Linked DNA regions of Macaca fascicularis. The protein of the gene in region 1 purifies or fractionates together with the protein of each later gene. This does not show direct contact. Links are inferred from orthologs where the notes say so. Each region holds a gene or a part of one and is shown in the gene's direction. Other genes may lie near its edges. The genes, in order: DNAJB6 and MLF2.

What was found.
Region 2: the proteins of DNAJB6 (region 1) and MLF2 purify together in Homo sapiens (affinity purification with mass spectrometry; 3 studies listed by BioGRID and IntAct, with this or other methods). This does not show direct contact. The link is inferred for Macaca fascicularis from reciprocal best matches to the Homo sapiens genes DNAJB6 and MLF2.

What each region holds. Positions count from the first base shown.
Region 1 is NC_088377.1:198,714,294-198,718,093, forward strand, and holds part of DNAJB6 (dnaJ homolog subfamily B member 6), read left to right. Parts: intron 1-2,887; coding exon 2,888-3,094; exon of another isoform or gene 3,095-3,645; intron 3,646-3,800. UniProt on the Homo sapiens protein: Has a stimulatory effect on the ATPase activity of HSP70 in a dose-dependent and time-dependent manner and hence acts as a co-chaperone of HSP70. Plays an indispensable role in the organization of KRT8/KRT18 filaments.
Region 2 is NC_088385.1:7,678,725-7,683,130, reverse strand, and holds the start of MLF2 (myeloid leukemia factor 2), read left to right. Parts: upstream 1-1,550; 5' UTR 1,551-1,707; intron 1,708-2,280; 5' UTR 2,281-2,308; coding exon 2,309-2,358; intron 2,359-2,381; exon of another isoform or gene 2,382-2,569; coding exon of another isoform or gene 2,570-2,586; coding exon 2,587-2,716; intron 2,717-2,968; coding exon 2,969-3,004; intron 3,005-3,874; coding exon 3,875-3,928; intron 3,929-4,335; coding exon 4,336-4,406.

The sequences.
Region 1 (3,800 bases):
CCCAGAGCCAGGATGAGCCAGGATGTGTGGGGTTACCCTGCCCCCCTTTTCCCTCCCCACGGAGTGGGGCGGGTGAGCGGCTCCCGCTTGGCTCTGAAGCTCCCGGGCACTGGGGTGTGTGGCTGGGCCAGGCAGTGGGTGGCTCTTCTGGTGGCAGTCACAGAGCTCTTGCTGCATCACTGTGCCGGGGAAGACTTCACAGCTATGGATATTTAGGGTCCAGTTCAGTGTGTCACACACCAGAAACTTTAAATTTTTTTCTCAAATGTTCTACATTAGTTGGCAAAGTATAATCTTCAAAGTCATGGCGGAGTATTGGGTGTAATCCTCCTGGAGGCGGGAACGGGCTTGGCACCGGCAGGTTCCGGTTGGCCCTTTGCTGCTGTGTGTGTGGGTCCCCTCGTCTCTCCTCTCTCCCTCCAAGGTGGGACGTGGTGCCCTGGGAGCAGCTGTGCTGAGTCTCTCCTTGGTGTCCAAGGGGCTGGGACGGTCCAGGGTCCACAGGTGTCACCGGGGCAGCCTGCCCCTTTGAGTTTCCGTGTCAGATCTGGAAGCCATGTTGCCACACAACAGCAAGTTCGCAGCACTGTCTCCATGTGTCCCGCTCTCCTGCCAGGGTCCAGGCAGCTGGGAAACAGCTTGGTTTGCTGAGAAGCTGCATCCTGGGTGTCCTTGTCCCAGAGCCCTCCTCGCTCCCAGCCTGCAACTGGGGCCTGGTCAGGGGACCCTGGCATGTTTCCTCCTGCCGCGGGCACGTTCAGGAAGTGCTGTGTGTGCATGACACCCGCACGCATGGCCTGTGTGCTGGGGGCTGTTTTCCTTCACTCACATCATAGAATCGCAGACAGCAGCCCTGCCACCTGTTCATTCTGCCCGTGAGCACACGGAGTTCCCAAGGGGAGAACTGGCCCCGGGCTAGGTGACCCCTCTCAGCTCAGCAGTTCTGCGTGATGCCGAGACATGCGTGTGTTCTCCTGGTGTAGCCATCTCAGCAGGGGCCCTGGGGTCCCCTGGCAGGACGTGCGGGCCGGTGTTGACAATGGGTGTCATAGGTGAAGGACGTGCAGGCCGGTGTTGACAATGGGTGCCATAGGTGAAGCCTCACAGCCTGCATTTACGGTGCATGGTTAAATGGTCCCCAAAATTACATTCTGTGTTCACAGTGTGGGGAAATAGGATGGGGGTAGAAGGTGACATCTGAGGCCTGCGCCTCCTCTTGGGTTTGCTGAGTTCCAGAAACGACCGAGCCCTGTGGGCGCCGTGCTGCAGCTTTAGGGTTTTGTGAAGCTTGCCCTCCCCTCTGGGGACACGCAGGCCCCAGGTTGCGAGTTGCCCAGGTCTTGGAGATGAATTCTGCACTCGTGTGAGGGTCTTCCTTAGGTGAGCATCACCATCGTGGTCTCCAAGGACCAGAGCCTGGCCTGAGGGGACAGCCTGAGAGCAGGTTCCTTCCTGACCTCAGAGCCAGTTGTGTCCGTTGTGGGTGATCACATTTGAGCTCCTGGGGCGGGCCCCGGGCCTGGCACTCAGCATGGAAGTGGCGTACGGGCCAGTTTAATTGGAGAAGCCCCTGAATGTCCGTCGATCTCAGTCCGTTGCGTTTCAGGCGCGTTTCAGTGGCTGAGTGCTCCTTAGTGCCGGCGGGGAAGTGAGGAGGACGGGCCGCCTCTGGCATAAACTCCGTGCTGTGCCACGGGAGGGGTCTGCCTCGCTTTACATCTGCGCAGGGCTCGGGGCCCGAAGTGCTGGGTGCGACACGTTTTAGACACATTTTAGAGTTTGCAGAGGGACGAGGAATCCACCAGCTACAGCCTCACACGCTTTGCTCCTGGAGCTGCCGCTGCCTCCCTCACATCCACACAGCGACTGTCACTCACACCTTCAGAGAATCACAGTGGAGATCATTCTGCGAATATTGTTTTCTTATTTTTATTCCTCGTATCCATCAGTGTTCAAAACATTTTTTCTGTATTTTTTTTTTTTGAGATGGAGTCTCACTGTGTCCCCCAGGCTGGAGTGCAGTGGCGCGATCTTGGCTCACTGCAAGCTCCACCTCCCAGGTTCTCACCATTCTCCTGCCTCAGCCTCCCGAGTAGCTGGGACTACAGGCGCCCGCCACCTCGCCCGGCTAATTTTTTGTATTTTTAGTAGAGACGGGGTTTCACCGTGTTAGCCAGGATGGTCTTGAACTCCTGACCTCATGATCTGCCCGCCTCGGCCTCCCAAAGTGCTGGGATGACAGGCGTGAGTCCCCGCGCCTGGCCTATATTTCTTTTTTTTAATGCACGGCCTTCCAATGACTTTTTCTGTATTTCAAAAGATTAATAAAAGCACAACTCTTCAGAGCATTGAGGAGCCGGCCTGTCTTGGGGGGGTGTGTGTGTTGTGCGGGGCCAGAGCTGGCGCTGCACTGGCGTGGCCCTGCCTTGGGCGGAGCTGTGGCTCCCGTGGGCACCGCTGCCGCGGCCACAGATTTATTCCAGCACGAGGCGGAGAGGGGGCGTCTTCTGTGTGTGGACTCGGAGGATGAAATCGCCAGCTGGACCCGGAGCCTTTCTTCCCCAGGGTGGCCCAGCTGGCTGATTCTGACAGGGAATTTGTCAGCCCTGGGCTGTGATTTCAGGGGGGCACTCTCGCTCTTGGAAGGGGCGTGTTGGTTGTGCCAAAGCTGGTGGGGCGGGGAGCCGCTTCTTCAGGAGGGAGAGGGGTGATTTTCAGATGACTCTCTTACCACTCGGAGCGTTAAGTTCTGGCCCCAGCGGTGCCACCGAAGAAGGCGATAACCTCTTTCTCCTCCCCAGAGATGACGCGTCTGTCAGGGAGACCTTGCCCTGGAGGGGCCGGCTGCCGCTCACTCACGGCCGTCTCTCTCCCACTGTGCTTGCAGGTGTGGCCGACGAGGATGCCCTCGCTGAGGAACGCATGCGGAGAGGCCAGAACGCCCTGCCAGCCCAGCCTGCCAGCTTCCGCCCGCCGAAGCCGCCCCGGCCCGCCTCACTGCTCAGACATGCGCCTCACTCTCCCTATGAGGAGGAGGGCGAGCAGGACCGACCTCGGGCACCCGGGCCCTGGGACCCCCTCGCGTCCGCAGCAGGTGTGCAAAGGGAGGCAGCCGAGGAGCAGGCCCAGAGGGAGACTCCCGTGGGTGCCAGAGGACAGCGAGGACACAAACCGCGCCTGTGCTGCTGTGTTCTGACCTGAGCGGGCGGGGGAGGGCGGGGCGGGAGGAGGTGGCTTCGCTCTGTTCCCCTCCCGCCCGCAGCCCCCACGCCACGGTGGCTCCGGCCCCCCACCGTTAAAACGGGGTCCCCGTGTCCTTTACACCGTGTGTTGCTCCCCAAAGGATGACAGAGCTGCCGCAGCAGTGCGAGGTGCTGCTTTTACCGTAGACTTGCCTTTCCGTAGCTTTCAGCGTAGAGCTTGAGGCCTGTGGCTTAGGCCAGGTGGTCTGGTGCTGGGGGTTCTGCATCTGCTCCTGCCCCTCCGTCAGCTTCACCTTCTCGTGCCTTCTTCTGCGCTGGGTGCAGAACAAAAGACCCCTCAAGTCAGACGTCCTCGTGAAGCGTAGTCTGCCCGTCACCCGCCGTGGGGCTCTTGGCCGCCCTGCCCGCCGCCCACCCCTTAGGGAGCTGGAGAGTCTCTGAAGTGAGTGCCCCGGAGAAGTTCTGGGTCGCCCTGAGGACGTGCTGTGCATGTGGGCTTGGCCCTGACTGCGTACTACAGCCCAGGGTCTGTGTAGTGTGAACCGTGCATCGGTTGGAAGCATTCGTGCCCCCTCTGGTTCTTACCACTGCACACAG
Region 2 (4,406 bases), on another chromosome or scaffold:
GTCAAACTGCTTTCATTTGGGGCAAGAGGATAAGGGGAAGTTGCATGGTGGAATGTGCAGAGATAGAGCATCTGGAAGATAAAAGATTTTACTAAGTATCTTCCCCAGAAACAGCAATGAAAAACAAATTTACTTTTATTCTGTCTCTGTTTTCCTCTGACTTGCCAGTCTGCCAGCTTGTATCTTAACTATCTGTCTCTGCTCCCTGTCTCTATTATTGTTTTTTCCTCTTTAATAATGATCAAGTCCAAAGAAACCTGAGAAGCCCTGTTCCTAGCACCTTTTCCTGAGTTACCAGGAACCCCCTCTTTCTCCCCCAGGGAATTATCGGGAACAAGTCTTTCTCATTGGGTCAGACTCCACACAGCACTAATATGGCTAAAAGCCAGAGTAAAGAACCAGGGAAAGCTGGAGTTTGGATGAGTCTGGTTAAAGTCCATCCTAGACAGTCCAAATGCCCTGACCCCAAAGGGGAGGGCCCTTCTCTCCAGCAGAGCCAGATTTTATGCAAGACATTTAGTATGTCAAAGGATCAGTCTCTGGCCTTGGAGGCAGGTCTCCTGGGCCCCGTTTTAGCTCCTCCCCTGGGTGATCCAGGTTAACTGAGCTCTCCACTCCTTTCTTCCCCCAAACTTTAGACCTTTGACCTAAGAAAGCAAGCAAGAAAGGTCAGTGCAGGACTGGGAGCTCTTGAGGACGCAAGAATTAGAGTAAAAGGAAAGGGAGAGTGGCATTAAACTAATAGATTTCAGAACTGTAGCCTTTCCCCAGTCCAACCCTTCACAGTTGGGTAATGGGGGAGGGCTCCAGGTCCCTCTCCAATGCCAGTTCTCAAGGGCCTCGGGTTCCAGCCTGGCCGAGGAGCGCCATCTGGCGGCCAACTCCCCAACCTGGATTCTCTGCCCCATCCGACTTTCCGAAGCCCGAACTAGATCTGGGCTGGAGAGTGTCACCTCCTCCTCTGCGTCACTCCGGGGACTCCGCCCTGCCAGGAACGCTCCTCCTCAAGCGGGGACAGGCCCAAGCGACTCCCCGGCAAGAAAACTGCCCATCCTCCCTCCAGGATAGACTGCTTTTCCACTAGAGTCTGCTTAAAGCTCCCCCAAGGGATCCGCCCCGCCTCGTCGCCCACAGAGAGCCCGCCTCTCCCCGAGGGGCATCTGCCCCTAGTCCTCCAGTTTCCCCCGGAGGAGGGAGAGGGAACGTGCTGCACAGCGCCAAGTTCAACCCCCAACTCGGTCCCTCCCGAAGAATGGATTCCTCTTCTCCTTCTCCTCCCCAGCCTCATGGGAGCCTCTTCCAGTCCACAGAACCCAAATCCAGGTTACTAATGAGTTCCCCTTCCTCGTGGCCAGGTGAACCCTCTCGACCTCAGGTTCCGCTCGCCTGAGCTTGGCCCATGGCCCCGCCGCCCCTGGGACTCGGCCCCAGCCTTCTCACCACCCACGCCAGTGGGCGGGGCTCCCACGGCCCGGCCCCGGGTGGGCGGTTCCATCGTGACGTCACTTCCGCCCGGGCCTGGCCTAGGTTCGGGCTCCGTGGGCCGAAGGGGGGTTACGGAGGTGGCAGCGGTGGGAGGAGGCGGCGTGGAAGGCCGAGGAGCTCGAGCCCGGACCAATCCCCGCGTTCTGGGCCGCGACCCTGACCCTGCAGCGCACCGGGAAGCGAAACCGGCCGGATGGGCCGCTGAGCCCGAATCGGGCACTGGTGAGGCTCAGGCAGAGCGGGCAGCGCTGAACGGGAGCGGGCCCGCGGGGCTGCAGGGTCTGGGAGCCCGGGATGCGGGCTGGGGAGACGAGAGGCTCAGGCCTACCTCTTCGGCTCACCCGGCGGGGAGGCGGGAGCTGGAGGAGCCGCAGACAGGCGCGGGGGTCTTAGTGAGGCCCGCCTGGGGGAGGCCTGGTGTAAGGAGGGGGCGGGGTGGCTGGGGTCATTAATGGGGCGGAGGACCGGCACTTGGGATTTTCGTCTAGAACGGTGGCGGCGAGGGAGGAGGGGAGAGTATGCTACCGGCCAGAGCTTTGGGAAGAGGATGGCTCTGAGTGGGGGAGGGAAAAACCGAGAGGCTTGGAAAATTTTTCCGTGGCCCTAATTGAGAGAGAGGTTTGAAGAGCCCTTACCTCCTTAGAGGGTTGTGCGGAACACTGGAGTAGGGTCTCCCTGGAGTTTAGGGGGTCAGTTACAGCGTTTGGAAAGGACAGTGCTCTAAGAGTCCCTACACTGAGTGGGTGTGCAAAACCCTGGCCACCTCCAAGTATCTGAGCTTCCACATGTTTCCAGTGTGGAGCCCCCTGGAGCTGAGATCAGGATGTTCCGCTTCATGAGGGATGTGGAGCCTGAGGATCCCATGTTCCTGATGTGAGTATTCCCTCCCCCTCAAGCTTCCCACTCCAGGTCTCTCAGCAGTTCAAGCAGACGTCGGGGTTTCCATTGCTGGGAATGGTTGGAACTGGCTGGATACCCAGCTTCTACCTAGCAGGAAGTAGGCATCGGTGCCACTGTTGCTCTGTGCGTATTTTTTGCAGGGTGGTGGAGGGATTAACAGTTTGGCGCTTCTGCCATCCATACTATGTGCTCACTCCACAGGGATCCATTTGCTATTCACCGTCAGCATATGAGCCGTATGTTGTCAGGTGGCTTTGGATATAGCCCCTTCCTCAGCATCACAGATGGCAACATGCCAGGGACCAGGCCTGCCAGCCGCAGGATGCAGCAGGTAATGGTACTACGACACACCTGAGACCCAAAGAAAGGTTGGAGGTTGGTTAGGAAAGCACTTTAGTTTTCTTGCACTACAGCCAACTGAGCAAGTGAAGTGCTCTAGGAATGGGGGAAAGGGTCAGGAAAAAGGGCTTTGTGACTCCCTTTTGAGAGGATGGAAAAAAAAAATTGAGGCCATGGGCCTCGTTTGGGATTGTATAGAGATAGGATGTGGTCTGTAATTTCTGTTCCTCATGTGTTCCTGTAGGCTGGAGCTGTCTCCCCCTTTGGGATGCTGGGAATGGTGAGTCTTCATCTCCCCGTGTCCTGCCATCTCAGACACACTCTCTACCCTTAGGTATTATTCCCAAGTGTGCCTTTTAGGAATAGTTTCATGGGTAACCCCAGAATCTTCTCTTTTTATGGCATTCACAAAGCTCTGAGCCTGCTGGCTACTAGGAGCCCTGTGGGTTAAAGGTGTTATTAACTCTCGTTGGGAGGCCGAGATGGATCATCACTTGTGGTCAGGAGTTTTGAGACCAGACTGGCCATCATGGTGAAACCCCTTCTCTACTAAAAATACCAAAAAAGCCAGGCATGGTGGCACACACCTGTAGTCCCACCTACTCTTGAACCTAGGAAGTAGAGGTTGCAGTGAGCTGAGACTGCACCAGTGCACTCCAGCCTGGGCAACAGAGCCAGACTCCACCTCAAAAAAAGAAGAAAAGACGTTATTAACTCTTGTACTCCTAGAAGTCCATGCTCATTAGGAAGATGTAATTGTCTAGCAAAATTTGTTCTTTGGAGGGGGGAGGCGCAGTTAAAGGGCCAACTAGAGATGATTTTTTGGTAGGTTTTAACAATTTCATGCCTTATCTCTTTAGAGTTTAGGATCCATTAACTTTGGCTTGCTTCCTAAAGATGGGGGGAATATAGCAGGCAGGAGAAGGAAAATTGGATCAGAGCAGTCATAGAGATTGAGGAAGGGGTCAGCAGTTTACAGGAAGAGAAACATGAGTATTCTGGTTACGTTAATAGAGAATGAGAAAGAGAACTTGCTAGATGTGAAGAAGAGAAAGGAAGTGTGCAGCCACGTGGGTTGTGGGTTCCTAAACAGGATCAACTCTGAACACTGACTTTGCTTTCCTGACTCTGTTTTCCATCTCTCCTCCAGTCGGGTGGTTTCATGGACATGTTTGGGATGATGAATGACATGATTGGAAACATGGTGAGACTTGCCCCATACCCTTCCCCGGCCTTGCTCTCAGTGATGGCTGACAACACCTTGAATCCTCTAAGGCAAGAGGGAGACAGTATGCTAGTGAAGGGTAAAGTACTGGATACCGTAATTGAACCAGAGAGCCTTGGGACCCTGTATCTGCTGTCATGCCTGCCTGAAGCAGCCAGCAGCAGCACTCTTACGTAGCATACAATTAAGGCTCTGTCTCTTCAGATCCTTCTTGCTCGTGGTTGGACTCGGAGGAATTTGGGAGGGTAATGATGAGGCCTGATGCTTTTTCAGTTCTTGCATTTTGTGAGAAAGATACAGGCTAGAACAGGCAGCTGAAGGGTGAAATCTCTTCACCAGGGGGGATGCCTCCCCATTCAGCCCTCTCCTACCCACCCTGTCCTCAGGAACACATGACAGCTGGAGGCAATTGCCAGACCTTCTCATCTTCCACTGTCATCTCCTACTCCAATACGGG